Linked DNA regions of Lytechinus pictus. The main gene of each other region encodes a partner of the protein of the gene in region 2 in a complex. Links are inferred from orthologs where the notes say so. Each region holds a gene or a part of one and is shown on either strand. Other genes may lie near its edges.

What was found.
Region 1: ruvB-like 1 (region 2) and protein UXT homolog share a complex: the UniProt entries of both Homo sapiens proteins name them as parts of the PAQosome complex. The link is inferred for Lytechinus pictus from reciprocal best matches to the Homo sapiens genes RUVBL1 and UXT.

The regions. Positions count from the first base shown.
Region 1 is NC_087247.1:51,229,332-51,237,244, forward strand, and holds the start of protein UXT homolog, read right to left. Parts: upstream 3,012-7,913; 5' UTR 2,954-3,011; coding exon 2,784-2,953; intron 1-2,783. UniProt on the Homo sapiens protein: Involved in gene transcription regulation. Acts in concert with the corepressor URI1 to regulate androgen receptor AR-mediated transcription. Together with URI1, associates with chromatin to the NKX3-1 promoter region.
Region 2 is NC_087247.1:4,839,075-4,846,143, reverse strand, and holds the start of ruvB-like 1, read left to right. Parts: upstream 1-4,052; 5' UTR 4,053-4,212; coding exon 4,213-4,356; intron 4,357-6,835; coding exon 6,836-7,055; intron 7,056-7,069. UniProt on the Homo sapiens protein: Possesses single-stranded DNA-stimulated ATPase and ATP-dependent DNA helicase (3' to 5') activity; hexamerization is thought to be critical for ATP hydrolysis and adjacent subunits in the ring-like structure contribute to the ATPase activity.

The sequences.
Region 1 (7,913 bases), about 46 Mb from region 2:
GTCTCAATTTTACCTCCACAGGCTAGATTATGAGCGTTGAGCCAAGGACGAAATGATAAACAACAGCTGTGCTATTACGTAAGACTTCTCTGCCTGTAGTAGGACCTTCGGAATGAAATTATTGTATTCGATATTTAATCACGTTTTCAAATGCATATTGTATTCAGAAATCCAATGTTAGTCCATTTTCAAGTTCGAACGAAGAAAATCGACCTCGAAATAAGGAAAGTAAGTGAATTAAAATGACGGCATGCTTTGCTCGGGCTGTTGCGTTATCTTCGGACCGAGGTCAAGAAACAGGTGTTTTGATACTTAAAGTGCTTGCTTGGGGCAGTTATGGTTTGTCGTACTTGGAGAAGAGAATTGATTGAGGGAAACTGGGGTATAGTGTTTTCAAATGAAAGGTTTTCGTCATGTTTCCACGTTTTATGAACTAGACCAATACACTTATAGAGATATGATGGCAATTCAACAAATACCCCCAACGTGGCCAAAGTTCTTTGACCTTACATGACCTTTGACCTTGATCATGTGACCTGAAACTCGCACAGGATGTTCAGTGATACTTGATTACTATTATGTCCAAGTTTTATGAACTAGACCAACACACTTTCAAATTTATGGCTGTAATTCAACAAATACCCCAATTTGGCCAAAGTTCATTGACCCTAAATGACCTTTGACCTTGATCATGTGACCTGAAACTTGCACAGGATGTTCAGTAATACTTGATTACTATTATGTCCAAGTTTCATGAATCAGATCCATAAACTTTCAAAGTTATGATGGTAATTCAACAGATACCCCCAATTCGGCCAAAGTTCATTGACCCTAAATGACCTTTGACCTTGGTCATGTGATGTGAAACTCATGCAGGATGTTCAGTGATACTTGATTAACCTTATGTATAAGTTTCATGAACTAGGTCCATATATTTTCTAAGTTATGATGACATTTCAAAAACTTAACCTTAGGTTAAGATTTTGATGTTGATTCCCCCAACATGGTCTAAGTTCATTGACCCTAAATGACCTTTGACCTTGGTCATGTGACATGAAACTCAGGCAGGATGTTCAGTAATACTTGATTAACCTTATGGCCAAGTTTCATGAACTAGGTCCATATACTTTCTAAGTTATGCTGTCATTTCAAAAACTTAACCTCAGGTTAAGATTTGGTGTTGACGCCGCCGCCGTCGCCGTCACCGTCGGAAAAGCGGCGCCTATAGTCTCACTCTGCTATGCAGGTGAGACAAAAAACTGATATCACCAACAGAAAGAGCGACTTAAAATTACCCAATATAGTAATTTTCTTGAAGGTAAGGTCTATTAATGAAAATATTGGTAAAACATCGGCAAATATTGTTACCTTTTGCGTCTGCTCTGAGAAAATCTGACCTTCTCGACAAGCATCAAGAATTCACCAGTTTGCAAGCGGAAGTCTCCAAATAAGTAAGTAAAATGTGATACCAACCAAAATTATGGCATTTTAACCTCCAGCTCCATCTGATACAATTTTATTATGTTACCTTTGTCTGCTTGATTTCTTTTCTAACGCCTCGTAAAACGATCGTGCGCAAATTAAGGTCACACTTTTTTTATGACACTTTTTTCAGCAGAGCGCGCACTAGTCGATCGCCATGGAACTTTGAGACCGCGATACGAGCGAAACCCTTCATGACGAAAAACCTCCATTTGAGAACACTATACCCCAGTTTCCCTCAATCAATTCTCTTATCCAAGTACGACAAACCATAACTGCCCCAAGCAAGCAATTTAAGTATCAAAACACCCGTTTCTTGACCTCGGTCCGAAGATAACACAACAGCCCTGCAAAGCATGCCGTCATTTTAATTCACTTTCTTTCCTTATTTCGAGGTCGATTTTCTTTGTTCGAAATTGAAAATGGGCTAACATTGGATTTCTAAATACAATATGCCTTTGAAAACGTGATTAAATATCGAATACAATAATTTCATTCCGAAGGTCCTACGACAGGCAGAGAAGTCTTGCGTAATAGCACAGCTGTTGTTTATCATTTCGTCCTTGGCTCAACCAATAGCTCCATGGCTCAACGCTCATAATCTGGCCTGTGGAGGTAAAATTGAGACAGCGGGGATTACCTGGCCTAGCGGGGTTGATCAGGCGGGTGTTTCATAAAGCTGTTCGTAAATAAAGAGCGACTGGTGATCCTGTCTTGCCGTAAATGGTACACACCATTGGCGATGATTTAGCGCGCGAGAAAGGATCACCAGTCGTTCTTAAAGTCGCTCTTAACTTACGAACAGCTTTATGAAACAGCCCCCTGGGCTTGGAAATGATTTTGGGATTTACGAATGCAAAATGGGGTATAGTACCGCAGTTTGCAATCTGAACTGCGGTCTTTCTCCAAACGGTGGTCTGACGTAATGTTGACCTACTTTATAATTCCGTCAAGCGAATTTGACTGATCTTGCCTTCCGTTTGGTATTCATGATCATGATTTTGATTAATTTTGTGTGAGCTGTTAGTGTTAGAAATTTTTGATTGAAAATCAACTTCATGATGATTTTTAAAATGTGTGCAAATTATAATGGTCACCCCATTATACTTATAGACTGATCGTGTCTCATTTTAATTTTATTTAATTCCTTTTTATTATTTTGTGTGAATTTTGAAGTTAAAAAGTCTACATGGTCTAGGGCCTAACTAACTTGTATTTTTTGTAACTTGTTAACGTTATTTCATTTCATTTTCAATCATGATAAAATTTTTAAAAATGAAAGGTTAACTTAAACAACTTACTCTAAATCTTTCCTAAGCACTTCATTGACGAATCTTTCATATTCAATCACCTTTTCTGGTATATCTTCAGACATTTTGAACTTGAAGAAGGAGTTTGATGCTGATCCAGTGGCAGTGGTCAGTGGTCTACAGCACACAGGCCTGATACAGGCATCTCTGACCAGGTGCATCCCTGTCTGCTGTTACTAATTTTAGATCTAATGTACCGGTTTGGGGTCTGTGGACTGAGACTAAAACTGTAAATGTTGTTTAAAAGTGCTTTATAATTTAATTATTTCTGAGTTTTTTTAATCTTATTAATTTTATTCATGTATAAAAATATAAATTAAATAAATTTTTAATATTTTCAAAATAAAAACTGCACGAATTAAAAAAAAAACAGAGTTTAAAAACATAAATAAAAATAATTTTCATTGAGCTGATGATAGACTATAGAGATGGCCGAATTACTCTTGGATCCCAATATCAGAATTTGGGTGGTATTACCCATAGTTTTTATTACCTTTTTCGTTGGTATTATAAGACATTATGTTAGTTTATTGCTTGCCAGTCAGAAAAAAGTTGATTTGCAGAAAGTTGGTGATAGGTAAGTCCATAGATTTTATATTTTACTTTTTTTTAATTTCCTTAGTACAGTCCCATATACTGTAAAACGTGTAAGTTCTATTGCAAGAAGCTCCCCTCGCACACGCCACGGGCACTCCTAGTATACCCAGTTGTTGTGTGTCCGGACAGGTTGTGTGTCCGGACGATCAATTTTAGAAAGTCATTTGGAAAAATTTACAAGCGAAGTTTCATCAATTTTTCGTACAAAATGTAAGGAAATATTATGGAGAACAAAATGGAAGATGATTACAACTATTGAATTCATATTTTTAGTGTAATCCAAAGACAAATAAAGAAGGCTTCAACAATATAAAGTGTCCGGACACCCGATCCCCCATCCTACCAATGAGGTCCAACATTACATGTATGGACCTCATAGGCGACATCAGTAGTATTTTTGGTTAGAAATCTCTGAGAACAGGATATTTATATATTATATCACAAGTACAAGCTATATTCCTTTCTCTTATTTAAATTATAATTTTATAGTGTAAATGCATCGTTAGCAACAACAAAAAAATGAAAGAAATGAAGGGGAACTTACATTTTCACGGCTTTTTCCTGATTTTCTGGGCAGCTGCTCTTCTCTTCTGACTCGCGATCGAAGCTGATATGAAGATCACGTGATTCGCGTTCTCGTCAGCTGATCGGTTGGTTATTCTTTTCGTCAGACGTTAATAATATATATTTTATAATAATGCTAGCATTCATCGCTAATTTAGGTGAAAGAGATTGAAGTTAAACAGCGCCAGGTCGGAATCATAATTATTTTGGAAGAGTGTATTTATACACTCGATCTATTCAACAAATGCACAATCTTCAATATAAAAAATAAAACAGAAAGAACGCCTTGAACACAGGCCAAAATGCCTAACGATTTCTCCGCGGCATTAACAACTATCGTAAAGGGCGCTCCATTTATCAATAAAGATGGATGCTAAGCTGTCTATGGCGACAAAATTTGCCGCAAATATTTACGAAGAATTGTGAGAAATGGTCTGAAAATGCAACAAAAGAACCGGTGAGTACCGATTAAACATTATCAATTTATTTAATAGAACATATTTAATGACTACAATGTAACAATTTCTAGATAATATTGCTTAGTTCTAAGCTAGGGCGGCCCAAATGCGCTTGAGTGGAGTCCCAGTTTATTAGCACGGGTAAGTATTGGGGTGTCGCCTAGAGTGGCCACGGGTAGCCTAGCCAGGCGGCTTCTAGAGAGTAAAAATCATTTACTAACGTAAGGTCACTCTCATGAAGCCAGGGCTTCCGTCATATACTTTTGTGTGTACCACCAAAAAACCTGAAACTTTCGCCCCCGAGATTTCTACTTTCTTTCTAAAAGATCTAGCCCTAAATCATGTAGGCTAGGCCTACATGTCATGGGATAAAACTTCATTTCCGACATTTCTACGCTCTCGTTGTTATTTTTGAACAAGAATTCATCAAAAAAAATGAGAGAAATATTGTGTAAAGACGGAAGAGACTTGCCCGATGTTTACGCCGCCATCTTGTTTTCTATTGTTCTTCCCCAACGTTACCCGACGCACGCGTCTGTAACGTTGGCGAAGAACAATAGGAAACAAGATGCATGGATGAAAGAAGCCACTTTCTTGGGACCTGCCGTCTGACTGAAAGGGCTAATTTTTCATGAGGAATCTCCTTATCACATTTTTATTTGCCGCCAAGGTAATTCTTTTGCAGCAAATGTAAACAAAGGAAATTGGTCTCCAAAACTGAAAATGGATACCCAAATTCTTTACAAAAGTCTCTGATATTGGAGATAATCTCCCACATTGGAGACAGTCTCCAATATTGGCCGTGTGCCTCTACTGAATAGCGCCCCTATTGTCCGGATGCGACCATGCGAACGCAAGCAGCCGACAATAAAGTGTACGATTTCCAGGCTTATTAGGCTTAGTGTATCAAAACTCGAGCGACGCCCGCAGCCAAAATTTTGCTAACTTCCAGTAAACGCCTCGTCATATTTGTTCCGTAGTCTAACATCACTTTTCTTCTTAATTAAAAATATGGGTGGCAGAGATAGATGTGCTAGCTATAGTTGCAAGAATTACCACATATTTTATGAAAACAAGTGCAATTTTGTTTCATCTTCGCGCACTGTCTGTGCGTATTCTGAGCTGTACAACTGAGACCAGGCTGTGGCTGTGCAAAGTGTGCTTGTATGCATGCCGTTTGCACGGACTGTGGGCACTCTCGGCCCAGGGACAGAGTACGTCGGCGAGGCAGTGGAGGAAACTGGTCCCGGAATTCCCAAGGAATTAATAAAATGATGCATGATCAATAATAAACTCTGCAGTAGATTTGATTACTTTATCCTAGTTATATATTTTAGTAATATATCAATCGATTGTCAAGAATACATGTTTCATAAATAATTATCTCAATCATGACTCTATTCAGATATTAACCGAGCTGTGTTTTCTTTTCTCTCCACAGATACATAATTGCATGTAATTCAGGATCATGGCCGGACATTCTGAAGTTTTATTAAAATAATTAATTAAATATAAAAAAAATAATGGATGAGAATAGATGAAAGTATAATGAGAGAAAATAAGTTTTAAAAATAATGAAATTAAGGTACATTATCTGTGAGAGAAGTAATTAGTGACTGAATGTGATGAAATTAATTTAAAATGCAAATTTTTAAAATAATATTAAAGTAATGGAATATATATAATTTATATGAATTAAATATCCATCAGCTGCTTAATTTTCAGACAATGAAATTACAGAGAGGTTAGACTGAGGGAGACCATGGAGAATACTATAGTGCCTGTATATGGCTTATTATATTCACTCGCGTTCGTAATCACTCGCGTCGCGTTGGTATTATTATTTACAAGTAATGAAGTATTACTTGGAATTATATATAAATTATTAGAAATGTTATTTTATATAATAGTAATTATTTACAAATAGAATGTAAATTATATATAAATAATAGTTATTATTTAATGAATAATGATTATATAACAAATAATTGTTCTATATAATATTGGTACAATCGGCGCCTCATATATAACGTGGGATCTAACTCAGCTCGACTCACGTTAGCTTGCTCCATGCTACCGATGCACGTCGTGTCCGACCGCGGCCGGGTCCGGCCGCCTTGGGGCCATTGCATGTAGGCATGTCCGCATATGGGAATGATACGATGTAATATCGATGTGGCAGATATGGCAAGTTCCGACTCGGAGTCCTCGTATAAGACACAGTAGAAGTCCGGATCTATTCTAAGTTAGTTGAGCCACATGGCTGATTTGCTTGTTTGTTATGTTAAAACAGAAGTCGAGTACATCTTATTTAAGGCACTTGCCGGCTTAAAACGAAACTCGAATTTCAATTTCATTTTATTTTCCCAGCGTGTTTGTCCCATTGAAGACACCGTTAGAAAAAAAATCGCACCGAAATGAAAAAAAAAATCGCAAAAAATTCATAACGCGAGTGATTACGAACCCGCACGCGACGCGAGTGATTATAAACTGCCCTGTATATGGCATCATAAAATGTTTTATTTCAGGGATTTATTTAATCTTTATTCTGCATGTCATAGACCTATTTATATGTATTTATTGATATGTATATACACACTAGCTTATTTTAATATACTTTATATTTGGTCTAGAGCTCCGGCCGCTCGATCCTCTAGTCTCACCCCCCCCCCCCTCTATTAGATCCCGGCATTAGATCTTGTAATGATCAAACCCCAAAACTCATTTGCAAAGGACTATATCCCCCCAAAATAACAAAAACTAGCTAAATTCACTAGTTATGGAGATAAAATATATATCATGGTCTACATTATAATTCTCATCAATATTCTTTAATGGAAAAATAGCCTCAGGCTCTCTTCTGATCGCCGACGTGCTCTTTTCTACAGTCGATCGGCACATGCCCGCAATCACCATGTTCACTTTTCCCACAAAATCTTCCCAAATTTAGCCCCAGAAATCTTGGAAAATACGGTGAGCATTGAGTTCATACTTTCACTGTGCAATCATGATGCAAAGATTGTTCTATAAATCTACATTCAAATATCCAAAATAATTTCAATATGAAAAAATCAGACTCTTAAAAAAGCCTGGATTTTGAGTGACACTACACAAAACATGGCGTTGTATGGCTTCCCGAAAACCGATTCCGCGTTTGCTCCCTTTTTATTCCCGTGAGCCTTTGCGGTGAAAAACGCCCTCACGCGACGAATGCTATTTGCGATAAGGTGTATTGCGGTGCGGCAAATGCACATGCTATTAATGCGCTCATTTAGTCTCAAGACTAGCATGACCATGATGACTAGATCTAGGCTCTAGATCTGAGTCTACATTGTAGTTTCCCTCTTCTTCTATGTTGTTCTACATACATGATGTAGATTACTCTTGATGATGCCGAAGAAGGTTGAATCTAGCCTTGAGGTCTCCGTGATGATATTTTAAATATTTTTACATATATACTTTTTCATCACGGAGCCTTGAAACCCTTCCCATATACAGGCAT
Region 2 (7,069 bases):
CAGACCTCGCGATCATCGTATGACTAGTGGTGCGGACAGGGCCGTAGCTAGAGGGGGGGGGGGGGTATGGGGGGTGTGACACCCCCCCCCCCCAACATTCATGGCAGTCGGCAAAATCATGTACCAGTTGGCAAAATGGAGGATAGGGGAGAAAAAGAAAGAGGGAAAGAAAGAAAGAGAAAAAAGAAAGAAGGAGAGAGGGGGAGAGAAAGAAAAAGAAAGAAAGAAAGAGAGAGAGAGAGAGAGAGAGAGAGGAGGAAAGAAAGAAAGAAATAAAGAAAAAAAAGGAAAGAAAAATAGGGGTACTAACTTCGAAGAAGGTTACGACGTTTAGAGTAAAGACAACCAGTTGGCAAATCCAAGTCCATGTAGTCAGGCTTAGAGCCCTATAGTCAGAAAAATACAAAGGACAAAACAGATGGAGCTATAATAACACACAAAGTAAGCCCCGGTCCTCCCCCAATATAAACAAGCTTGTGAGTTTGCAAATTATACCACAATTATTGACGATTTAACAAACACATTAGTTTTGTAAAATCAGAGGCAAGACTAGGTAAATAAATATGGGGTAGGATGAATTTCCAAGGTTTAAGTTGAATAATCAAAGCCAAAGTATAGTTGGCAAATTATAAAGTGGGCCTATTAAAGTGGCAGAACACTACACGCTCTACCAGTCAGCAAAGTGATGTACAAGTACTGCCCCGTTTCAGATCTGAAAAGAACAGAACACAAGACTTAAAAAACTGGTAACTCTTCAGTTGGCAAATTCATGAAGACAGGTCTACAACTTGTAGACTTGTCTACAAGTTTGCAGTTGGCAAAAACACAAAAATATTCTAAGTTATTTTTACTAAATTCTGTCGCCGAAGATTTTTTATTTATTTATGGTGTCAGAATGTGCTTGGGGTGGGGATGGGTGGGAGAGGGGGCAGGTTGGGGTTGCATCATTCCTGGTGCTCGCATTGTCTGACTAATGAGATATATAGTCCTGTTGTATTTTAAGTCCATGAAGATTATGCACCAAATTATCCCCTCGCACTTCAAGTTATTATTGTTTTATGTAGTGACATATGCTTTTTTCATGACTATATACTTAAAGTGATTGCCCCCTTTTAAGGCCTTAATAAAACATTTCCAGTCTCTGCTTACGTTCGCATTGGTGTGGACCGATATAGATACCGGGCTGGTGTTAAATCAACACCGGCGTTTTTGCAGTGCACGAATTCCTAAAGACAGTCCTTAAAATGTCCCTTTTTCTGATCTAATTACAACAAATTTTCAGCTCGCGCTTCGCGCTCGCACCCCTTAATTTGTGAAATAGTAAATTCCTACAAACAAGCCATAGAATGCCCCTCTTCAGGTCTAAATTTTAAACATTGTCAGCTCGCGCTTCTCGCCCGCAACATTTCATTATTTAGTGAAATACGTATCATGTTCATGATTACAATTATGACCACAAAAAGTGCTTCATGTACCAGAGTAATTTTAACAGAATCAGCAAGCGCTTGGCGCTCGCATTAGATGACTATGATGAGATACGTACGCACTTCATAAATTCCAAAAGATAGTCCTTAAAATGTCCCTTTTTAGGGTTAAGTTATACAAAAAAATTCAGCTCGCGCTTCGCGCTCGCATTGTTTGTTTTGTGAGACAGGTACGTATCATGATTACAAAACTTTGCTTATAATGTCCCTTTTTAGGACTGAATACATTTTCAGCTCGCGCTTCGCGCTCGCATTATTTGATCACTTAGATACATATCCGTTTAATGGCACAGTCCTTAAAATGTCTCTATTAGGTCAGTAAACATGGTAATTGAGCGCGCTTCGCGCGCCCACTTAATGACTCAAAAATTTTGCTGGTGCCCCCCCCCCCCCCCCATGCCGTGACCCAGGGTACGCCACTGTTAGCAGTAGCGCTCTTGAAATTTTAGTTGAGACATCTTGCACAGAAGGTCAATTAAAAATTAACAAATCTTTGATTTTGATATTATTAATGCATATAGGGTATATCATTATACTGCAAGTTAGCAACTACGGCACACTATAGCCTTTCTATTTTGATCCAAAATGTTTATTTTTATCTTTGTATAATTTACCTTAAAGTATTCACCAAATGCCACTAATTCAATTCTAAAAATTCAAAATCTTTTAGCATGTGATTATTGTAGGGGGGCACATCCCCCATCAGACTCCCCCTGTGCTCACGTTGGCGCTGTCACGCCAAATTTAGTTGGCAAATTTAGCTGGTACACCCCCCCCCAACAAAATGCTTCTGGCTACGGCCCTGGGTGCGGAATGTTCCATTGCGGCTTTAATTATGGGGGAAATAGCATCACGGAGGGATAAAATGTATACACAGATAATGTTTCAGCGTTGATTCGCAATATTTTGAGTCAATTTTAATGAATTATCGTTGTTTGAACATTTAAACATCATTATAAAATGAAAGAAATAAGCAAAACTTAATTTTCAGACTTAGCTATGCAGTGGTAAGCTAGGATGCACCCCTCGTATACATAATGGACCCGTCACGAGTGTAGGTTTGCTCTTCGGACATCACTATCACAAAGAAAATCTCCTCTGATTTGATGATAAAAGTGCCCTATTTCCTCATCTGATAGAAGAAGTTGTTACCATTCATTTCAGGGGGGCGGAAATTCTATCTGAATCAACGCTTGTCCTTGATACACATTTGTTTGTGAAAAAAGGGTATAATGCAAGGGAATTCTGCGTGTTATAAGGGTGCGCGCGTGCAGCGAGGACCTTCTGTCCGCTAGTTTTCCATATGTAATTGATTGCGCCCCCAAAATGTACATGCATCGGGTCGGGTCATGTCCGTGTTTTCCTGGTGTTCCGAGTCAATTTCTATTTTTAGCTTAGTTGTTTGCCCCGACTAGGCCGTCAGGCTATCCCTCGGGGCCCCAACCCCCCCCCCCCCCTAAAAAAATGAAATCAATAGAATTTAAAAAAAAATAAGCACATTAGATCTATGCCCTTTTAATGTTCTTGGGCGGTATTCTGAGGTAATTTTATCTTTAAAATATTTTATTTTATCTCTTAAAATGAAATTGGTATTCTGAGATGACATTTTATCTCTCAGATAAAATTTTGAATTTTATCTTGCATATAAATTTTATCTTGCGTATCTACAGATGATACGCAACAGAGGAGTGCCTGCGTAGACATACCCATCGCGTATCTGGCCATGCAACGCGGATGATGTGCTTGCGCCCATGTTACTTTGAAGAAAAAATAAAATAAACTTAAAAGAGGGTAGGGGCTGTTTTATCTCTGCGACGTTGCTTTTATCATTATTTCTTGGTGAATTAACTACAAATGTTGACATGAAAATTAAGAAAAATTATATATTTATTGAGAATAATACCTTAATGTTATTCCTGTACAATCAGGAAGTATTTCATAAAACTTTTCTTGACTAATATTGTCTTTGAAATGATGCTTGAAAAGATGTGATATAGACTTCGAAAAAAGATGAGAGTATTGTCATTTTTTTTAAAGAAATCTCTGTAAAGACGCGCAAGCGTATTTTGCAAGCGTATTTGAAGTCAATAAATTGACGCAATATCACTCCTTTGCCACACCTCCTGGCGGAATGGATTTTCATTGGTTGAGTGATATGAGAGAGCTATAAAAGCGCATTTTTAATTGGATATTGATTAAAAAATAGGTGTGTCTTACAGAGATAAAATGAAGATAAAATTGTTCTCAGAATACTAATTCGGAGAGATTTTAAGGGTATTTTATCTCACTGATTTTAACGGAGATAAAATATTTTATTTTATCTGAGATAAAATGGATCTCAGAATACCACCCCTTGTTTTTAAAGCTTTTTAGCCTTTATTCAGATCATAATATTACATACAGCAATATAACAAAGGAAAATAATAAACATCGTGATAAAAATTTTCAAACAAAAATTATCTTAACCCAAAGCAGTTAATTGAGCTGCACCCATAGAGATGTATACTACTACTAGTATACATCTCTATGGCTGCACCACAGCTGCTGGTGTTGCTGCCCTCTTCGTTCGTTACTCAGACAATTCACTGAGACCCCATGCGTTGATGTTGATGTTAGATACAACTTGCCGGGACAATTTGGTTAAGATCCACAGCAAATCTATCGTTTAAGCCCGGATTCTAAGAAAATAAATCAAATCAAGTTATAGACTCAAGTTGTAGGAGCAACTATGAAGATCGAGGAGGTAAAAAGTACAACGAAGACTCAAAGAATAGCGAGTCATACTCACGTGAAGGGCCTTGGACTTGATGACTCTGGAAATGCATCATCAAAAACAACTGCAGGTCTGATTGGTCAAGAAATGGCCAGAGAGGTTGGTAGATCGAAACATTAGATCGAAATAACGTTAGGCTAGCCAGGAGGCTCCTAGAGAGTAAAAATCATTTACTAATATATGCTTACCCTCCACGGAGCCAGGGATTCCTTCCCATTCATGTACGCGTGCCACCAAAAAACCAGAAACTTTCGCCCCAAGATTTCTACTTTCTAAATTTTCTAGCCATAAATCATGTATGTAGAGAGTACGGCCTACGGGATACAACTTCATTACCGACATTTCTACGCTATCGATTTCATTTTTAAACAAGAATTCATTAAGAAAACAAGAAAAGTATTGTGTAAAGACAGGGGAAACTTGCCGAGATGTTTACGCCGCCATCTTGTTTCTCGTTGTTTCTCTTCGCCAACGTTACCTTTAGGCCTATACCTTTATAGGCTAGGCCTATACCTTTATACCGCATCTACTGGAAAAATACAGTTGTTCCTGCAGCTGCAGTCAAGTTTCCAGGTCTATCTCGTTGTCTTCCTAGCTTGGATAAGTTCGAAAACTGAGTCTGTGCTATTTGTGCAATGTGCTGTGCCAATTAATGTATTGGAATGAAATAGGCACTATTCCCATGCGTGAACATAATGCCACGCAGACCAGAACTTGTCTAACTTTGTCTTGAAGCCATTGATTGTTGATGCTGTGATTACCTCAGTAGGCAAAGAGTTCCAGTCATTAACCACTCTAACACTGAAGGGGTTTTGTCTCACTGCCAGTCTACGCATGCATGCGTCTGTAACGTTGGCGAAGAACAATGCCAATGCATCCGTTACGTTGGCGAAGAACAATGTCTGAGAAACAAGATGGCGGCGTAATGCGTCCAAAATTTTGTCCGCTGACTTTAAAAATAAAAGTGGAATATTATAGGGAATAGGGGTCTAAAGACTAAGTAGTGCACTCACACTAACGTTAGTACAGTGCGAGGTCATATACTTATCTCGCACCAAGAACCGTGTTTGGCAGTGGATTTCTTACTGGCTGGTCACAACACACGACTTCTAAAGTTCTAGCCTTGATTTTTCTGTGAGTTGCGGCATGTAATGAACCCTTGAGTGGTCTAAGTGTTAACCACTTTTAAGTTACATGTAGTAACATCACATGTACATCTTTGGTTTTGCAAGATTAACTTAAATTTGTTGTCTTGATTTCAATTGCTCTTAGTAGATATGAAGGGTTTATTCATGTTTAGATGATACAAAGTTTATAAGTCTTTTTCTTTTGAGTCACATAAATAAAACTGTCAGTGTCACAAAAAAGAATCATCAATCATTTGTACATGTTTCAATGAAAGTGATTTGAAAAACAATAGTGATTTAAATCGCAATTTAAATCAACGTGATCTAAATCGGCCTACCCTGTAATAAGAAGCAAGACATAGTCCAGCGGGTCGTGTGGTCTAGTGGTTAGAGCATTGGACTCATAATCGCAAGGTTGTGACATGTGCACAACAACAAGGTTGTGAGTTTGAATCCTCACTCTGCTATTGTCTCCACTTTGATAAAAAGGCCCAAGAGTAATATCTGTCGTCTATAGGGTCAGCCACTATGACTGAATAACCTAGACGTAAAATGTTTCCTAGGTAATTGGTTATATACCAGCTTGGCGTTTACCAGCAAAAATTATGTTTGTACTAAAGTCTGTTTTACTTTTAATTTATCTTGCTCAATAACTTAAAGGAGAATGAAACCCTTGAAACCAGCTGAATCCATATCAAAGAGAAAAATGAAAGAAACATATTGTTGAAAGTTTGAGGAAGATTGAATGAATAATAAGAAAGTTATGAGCATTTGAATATTGAGATCACTAATGCCATGTAGACCCTCCCATTGGCAATGCGACCAAGATCTGTGATGTCACACACGTACAACTCCCTCATTACTTTCGTACTTATTTCACTTATATTCTCACTTTTATAGAGTCTATTAGAAGGTGAGGTGTTCTCTTTATGAGAGGACAAGTAAAGAGGTTTCACAACATTATATCATTGATGAATCGTTTGTCATATGATTAGAATGAGCAAAAAGAGATGTTTTGGGGTATATTTTCAGCGTCCAAAAGGGGAGAGTTGTTCATCTGTGACATCATAGATCTTGGTTGCATTGCCAATGGGAGGATCTCCATAGCATTAGTGACCTCGACATTCAAATGCTCATAACTCTTCTATTGCTAGTCCTATTTTACTCAAACTTTTGTTGATCTTATTCTTTGATTTTTCTGCTTTCACAAAAGCTAACTTGCTCCAAGAGTTTCATTCTCCTTTAAGTGATGGAATTGGCAAGTAAAGAGGAAAGAGGGCTTAGAAAATCAGAAATTTCCCTGGAACTATTTTAGTCACTCTATAAGAAAAGAATGGTTCACAAATTGACACACTCATCTGACACACTCATCTTAATAGACTGCATTCTAAGTCTCCACCTTTGCACAGGGTCTACATTTTGCATATTGATATTAACTTGTTTTTTTACAGGCTGCTGGTGTAGTTGTAGAGTTGATACGCTCCAAGAAGATGGCTGGCCGAGCCATCCTGCTAGCAGGGCCTCCTGGGACAGGAAAGACGGCTCTAGCCCTTGCCATCGCCCAGGAGCTTGGCAACAAGGTACCCTTCTGCCCCATGGTTGGAAGCGAGGTCTTCTCATCAGAGATTAAAAAGACAGAGGTGCTGATGGAGAACTTCAGAAGGGCAATAGGTAAATAGATAAAT